Linked DNA regions of Nothobranchius furzeri. The protein of the gene in region 1 interacts with the protein of each later gene in a pairwise test. Links are inferred from orthologs where the notes say so. Each region holds a gene or a part of one and is shown on either strand. Other genes may lie near its edges.

The links.
Region 2: the proteins of creb5b (region 1) and fosl2 interact in binary tests that used the Homo sapiens proteins (3 or more experiments, as listed by UniProt). The two-hybrid records come from large-scale screens. The link is inferred for Nothobranchius furzeri from reciprocal best matches to the Homo sapiens genes CREB5 and FOSL2.

Annotation. Positions count from the first base shown.
Region 1 is NC_091745.1:35,745,480-35,749,141, reverse strand, and holds part of creb5b (cyclic AMP-responsive element-binding protein 5), read right to left. Parts: intron 406-3,662; coding exon 284-405; intron 1-283. UniProt on the Homo sapiens protein: Binds to the cAMP response element and activates transcription.
Region 2 is NC_091758.1:42,821,395-42,824,467, reverse strand, and holds part of fosl2 (fos-related antigen 2), read right to left. Parts: intron 1,842-3,073; coding exon 1,587-1,841; intron 1,512-1,586; coding exon 1,404-1,511; intron 37-1,403; coding exon 1-36.

The DNA.
Region 1 (3,662 bases):
TTGTGCACAAGGAAAGGTAACACAACTTCACATTTTGAACCAAGAGGAGAAAATACACAACATGAGTTCAAACCCTTGTGGCTATTTGCTTTTTTAAGTCCCCAGTGTGGTTTTAAGAGGTCTAGGTGTTTCTGTTTAGAGTGTTTCATGCAGGCAGCTATGTGTGACAGGGTTTATGATGGCTCTAGATAACGAATCATGACCTAAACTCTGTTGATAGCTGTGGTTTTAGGTATTTCTGGGGTTTTTTCCTTTGAAACCCACGTTGCTATTTGAAGTTTACCTGTTTGCTGTCTTCTTCTTCTTGGGCTTTGCAAAACTCTTGCTCAATGGAGCAGTCCAGCTCACTAAACAGTCCCACCTCTTCACAGTTCTTCAAGAAACGTGTTGGAGTTGGCGTTTGGTCTGGAATTCAAACACAGTGTTGTCAGTTCTTTGCATTTATGTCTTTTTATTTCTGCGTGCCATCATCATCATAGAGAGAAATACGTGTTAATTTAGGATTTTTGCATGTTCATTTTTCAATAACAAATAGAAAAAAGTAGAACTATGGAACTTGCTGTCACACGTCGGCTCTACAGAAAAGTGTTCTGTCCGTTTTGCTCGGCAGCTTTTTGCTGACAAAGAACAGATTCCACCAACCGAGCGGGCCTCGTTTGTTGAGCTCTGACAAGCTGCAGCATTCGCCCCGACATCAGGGGGGGGTGGGGTGGGGGGGGGGGGGCTTACATTTCAGGTTTCTGACACTCAAAGGTGATTTTTTATGATCATGGCTGATTCTAAAAGCACATTTTTGTTGTTTATCTTTTCTGGCTGAAATGGAGATTTACTCATTTAAACATGACTTGTGAACCCAAAATATTGTTTTATTTAATTATTTATATATTTATTTATTTATTTATTTACTTACTTTTGGGGAGACAGAACATATAACCAAACCTCTAAGATGAGCTGTAGCTCATCAGATCAGTGTCTAAATATGAGAATTATTCGGACAGCTAATGACCAACACCCAGAAGACATGAGCCCCATTGTCTAAACAGCATTGGTGATAAAGAGGCTCCAATCTGAATCAGCTGCAGTGGTTAATAATCCTTCTAGGAAAACAGATCCATGGATTTCTTTGGCATGACCCCTGAGAACTGAGAGAATACCTCCTTTTCTCAGCCCGTATGGACTCTACTTGCACACTGCAGACCAACATCACTCAAAAGACTGAAAGATTCTCATCACCAAAAAGCAATTATGAGCAGAAATTAAGCTACAAATGCTGATTAGTCTGCTCATATGTGAGCGCGTCTGCATCGGCTATGTGAGCGCGTCTGCATCCGCTACGTGAGCGCGTCTGCATCCGCTACGTGAGTGCGTCTACACATCTGCATCCGCTATGTGAGCGCATCTGCATCGGCTATGTGAGCGCGTCTGCATCCGCTATGTGAGCGCGTCTGCATCGGCTACGTGAGCGCGTCTGCATACGCTACGTGAGTGCGTCTGCATCCGCTACGTGAGTGCGTCTGCATCCGCTACGTGAGTGCGTCTACACATCTGCATCCGCTATGTGAGCGCATCTGCATCGGCTATGTGAGCGCGTCTGCATCCGCTACGTGAGCGCGTCTGCATCGGCTACGTGAGTGCGTCTGCATCCGCTACGTGAGCGCGTCTGCATCGGCTATGTGAGTGCGTCTGCATCCGCTATGTGAGCGCGTCTGCATCGGCTATGTGAGCGCGTCTGCATCGGCTACGTGAGCGCGTCTGTATCGGCTACGTGAGCGCGTCTGTATCCGCTATGTGAGCGCGTCTGCATCGGCTACGTGAGCGCGTCTGTATCCGCTACGTGAGTGCGTCTGCATCGGCTACGTGAGCGCATCTGCATCCGCTATGTGAGTGCGTCTGCATCCGCTACGTGAGCGCGTCTGTATCGGCTACGTGAGTGCGTCTGCATCCGCTACGTGAGTGCGTCTGCATCCGCTACGTGAGTGCGTCTGCATCCGCTACGTGAGTGCGTCTGCACATCTGCATCCGCTATGTGAGCGCATCTGCATCGGCTATGTGAGCGCGTCTGCATCCACTATGTGAGCGCGTCTGCATCGGCTACGTGAGCGCATCTGTATCCGCTACGTGAGCGCGTCTGCATCCGCTATGTGAGCGCGTCTGCATCGGCTATGTGAGTGCGTCTGCATCCGCTATGTGAGCGCTTCTGCATCGGCTATGTGAGCGCGTCTGCATCGGCTATGTGAGCGCGTCTGCATCGGCTATGTGAGCGCGTCTGCATCGGCTACGTGAGCGCGTCTGTATCCGCTATGTGAGCGCGTCTGCATCGGCTACGTGAGCGCGTCTGTATCCGCTACGTGAGTGCGTCTGCATCGGCTACGTGAGCGCGTCTGCATCCGCTATGTGAGTGCGTCTGCATCGGCTACGTGAGCGCGTCTGCATCCGCTATGTGAGTGCGTCTGCATCCGCTACGTGAGCGCGTCTGTATCGGCTACGTGAGCGCGTCTGTATCGGCTACGTGAGCGCATCTGTATCCGCTACGTGAGCGCGTCTGCATCCGCTACGTGAGCGCGTCTGCATCCGCTACGTGAGCGCGTCTGCATCGGCTACGTGAGCGCGTCTGTATCGGCTACGTGAGCGCGTCTGTATCCGCTACGTGAGCGCGTCTGCATCGGCTACGTGAGCGCGTCTGCATCCGCTACGTGAGCGCGTCTGCATCGGCTACGTGAGCGCGTCTGCATCCGCTATGTGAGTGCGTCTGCATCCGCTATGTGAGCGCGTCTGCATCCGCTATGTGAGTGCGTCTGCATCCGCTACGTGAGCGCGTCTGCATCGGCTATGTGAGCGCGTCTGCATCGGCTATGTGAGCGCGTCTGCATCCGCTACGTGAGCGCGTCTGCATCGGCTACGTGAGCGCGTCTGCATTGGCTATGTGAGCGCGTCTGCATCGGCTATGTGAGCGCGTCTGCATCCGCTATGTGAGTGCGTCTGCATCGGCTACGTGAGCGCGTCTGCATCGGCTATGTGAGTGCGTCTGCATCCGCTACGTGAGCGCGTCTGCATCCGCTATGTGAGTGCGTCTGCATCCGCTACGTGAGCCCGTCTGCATCGGCTATGTGAGCGCGTCTGCATCGGCTATGTGAGCGCGTCTGCATCCGCTATGTGAGCGCGTCTGCATCCGCTACGTGAGCGCGTCTGCATCCGCTATGTGAGCGCGTCTGCATCGGCTACGTGAGCGCGTCTATATCCGCTACGTGAGCGCGTCTGCATCCGCTATGTGAGTGCGTCTGCATCGGCTACGTGAGCGCGTCTGCATCGGCTATGTGAGTGCGTCTGCATCCGCTATGTGAGTGCGTCTGCATCGGCTATGTGAGCGCGTCTGCATCGGCTACGTGAGCGCGTCTGTATCGGCTACTTGAGCGCGTCTGTATCCGCTATGTGAGCGCGTCTGCATCGGCTACGTGAGCGCGTCTGTATCCGCTACGTGAGTGCGTCTGCATCCGCTATGTGAGCGCGTCTGCATCGGCTACTTGAGCGCGTCTGCATCCGCTACGTGAGCGCGTCTGTATCCGCTATGTGAGTGCGTCTGCATCGGCTACGTGAGCGCGTCTGCATCCGCTACGTGAGTGCGTCTGCATCCGCTACGTGAGCGCGTCTGCATCCGCTACGTG
Region 2 (3,073 bases), on another chromosome or scaffold:
CAGGTCCGCCTTCTCCTCCTCCAGCTTCTCCGTCTCCTGTTGGGTAAAAACAACACGTGAGCTCGAGGGGCGCTCGGGAAGAGAGCAGTCTGTAAAAAACTAGAAATCAGCCAAATCTGGAATAAAAAGCACAAAAAAAGAAAATAAAGATGAATTAAAAACAAACAGAACGTAAACAATGCAGAAATTTTAAAGAGATTTTTAAATCTAAAGACTAGAATGGTGCCTCAGATCGTAACGTCTCATAAAACAAGTGATTTCTATGTTTTAATAAGAAAATCTTCATTTTTGTTATACAGAAATTTTACATTTATTCGTTTTTAACCCGATTTCTTCGTCCACGAGGCTGATTATTAAACTTTTCTGCATTTTTAAAAGAAATCTTTCTGAGTTTTATTCATCAGCTTTCCTGCATTAAAGCTCGTTTAGATAAACGGACTAAGACGTGTTCTGAAGGCTCTCCAGAACATCGAAGATGTTTTCTCCTCTGTGACTCATTCTGCGTGTTTCAGAGGCGTTCTAGCTCCAGATTTCAACACTTTTATAAAAAATGAGATGAATAATCTGCTGCCGCCAGTTTTTATTTGAACTTTTTGTTTTTAAATCTGATGAAACGAGCAGCAGACTGTCTGCGACTCCCCAGAGATCCCACAGAGGGCAGGGTTTGCTGGCGTCTCACCCCGCCCAGCATGTCACCCTGCAGCCCGAGTTTGCCGGATGACTGTTTGTGTGTTGGAGGAGGAATTAGATGCACTTCTGCAGCGCGTCGTCCAATCAAGTGAGATAAAGCCGACGTGCTGTCTGAGAACTTTGACTCAAGGGCAAAGGTACGAGGAAGTTGTTCAACAGGAGCAAAGAGGTGTGACGTAAGCGTCGACTGGGATCAGTCCAGGGAAAAGTAAACACTGAAGCCGAGTTTCTCCTGAAATTTCTGCTCCTCTTCCGGATTTTGATGTTAGGAAGGATGGAAGTGGAGATCTTAGACGCAGAGCGTCTCCACCAGCGGCGTCCTCCTTCACGAAACACCCTGTTTTCATGCAGACGGCTGCCTACAGCACATTCCGTTCCAGTTTTTTTGTTCTTTATGACCAGACAAGCTCAAACCTCACAGTAATTCCACTAATTAGCCCATTTAGATGCCTTTGCTGTCTGTGAGCCGTGAGACAGCCCGACCTCTGTCTGCAGCTGGCCGAGACAAAAAGCTTTTCAGCACCTGTCAGCTCCTCGCTCAGACCTCGCACTTAAGAGTCAAACCGGGTTGTAAAAGCAAGAGTGGAGCTCAGACTTTCAGCACAAATCTGCCTTTTGAGCCTCGTGTTGCTTAAATTCAGCTCGTTCTGTTAGGAAATGACTGAACGTGGTGTAGAAGACAGAAAGGTTCTGGTTCCAGGTTCTAAACTCACCCCTTGCAGCATTTCTGTCAGCTCTCGCCGGCGGTTGCGGCATTTGGCTGCGGCCAACTTGTTCCTCTCACGCCTCACTCGTCTCTTCTCCTCTTCCTCTGGGGAGAGCTGCGCAGAACAACAGAGGCGTTATTTTAAATAAGACGTCTGACATCCGTGTGAAAACTTTCGGGCGTCTCTCACCTGCTCGTCCCTTTTGCGGCGACCTCTGGCGTCGCCGATGGAGCGGATGACCCCGGGCCGAGCCAGGGCGTTGTGGGCCAGCAGCCCCGGCCCGTTGGTCAGGTGATGGCTGTACGGATGCGAGCGGGAGTAGGGGTTGGACATGGAGGTGATGACGGTCGGCTGCACCATCCACTGCAGGTCTTGGCTGGTTGTGATTGCATTTATCGTTGGGATGAAGGCACTGTTGGAGCCGGGCATGTCAACCCTGTACTTCTGCAAGAACAGACACAAGCAGCTGATGAGAAACAGGAAAAAGGGGGCGTGGATGCACAGTGGAGGGGGGAATGATCCAAAACTGGGGAACTGGTGAGCAGCTAAAGGACGCTATTTAATCCCATAAGCATCTTAGTGTCTGTGTAGCTCACAGCTCAAACTCAGTGTCACCTCCACCGCCACCCACCATTACCACATTCACACATTTCCCACATTTTATAGTAATGATTCAATCGTCATGGACTGGAACCCCTGGAGAGGGACAATGACACATGCTGTGAATCATGTGGGAAAGCCCAAGGTGTCCACTTCATCTCATTTCACTACAACAGGCCCGGAACCAGTGGCCTGGACTGGAGAACCTCTCCTTTCAACCCAAATCTGTACCCTTCTGCTCACTTTTGACTTTTCTAAAGAACATATGTGAAACTTTCCCTACAGTCAGGTTAAACTGTGGTTTATAGTTGATCTGAGGCTAAATTAAATGAATAAACTTTGTGTTTTGAGCACAATCAAACACACGCACGTTCCAAATGTACGCACGTCCTTGCGCGTAATTCCCGACTTTCCGTCGGATATCCCGGCGGTCTGCTGGAACTTTGTTTATCTGGTGACTCATTGTGTTCAGGATTCGTTCAGCACGTGAATCTCTCTCGGTTCCAATCATGAGGAGGCGGCCGCGAGCTGGGACAGTTAATGGATATGAGGAGCAGAAGAATTACCCAAACGCGTTCTGGAGAAGGATCTGGGAGTTGTGAATATTCCTAAACACTTTGAGCGTGATAGCATTCCTGCAGGTGTAATAAAGTGTTGTTTCGGGATGGGGGGTGTCCTGTTCCGGCGCGCAGTCATGAGCTCTGAGTGAATGATTACACAGAACCGAAGGTTCGGGCCAAAAGTCGTTTACAGTAATGCAGCGCGCGCCTGACGCGTTTCCAGAGAATGTACCAAGACTGGGGCGTGGGGAAACGGCATGTTCCCGGATTCAGATCCTACTTTTGGGAATAAACACTCGTCACGTTCCAACACTCCCTGTGAAGTGGAGGGTTTGGTTCACCAAGCTGGCATTTCCTCAGTAAGGAAGTGTGGGCTTTTGATGGCGCTGTTGTGGGTCTAAGCGCGCGCTTCCCGCTGGAGGAAATGTGCCATGCACGGCCCGAGAGCTGTCTGGTCGAATCAGACCATCCATCCAGCCCGTGACCGGATGTTTCAGCATCAATAACGTAAACATA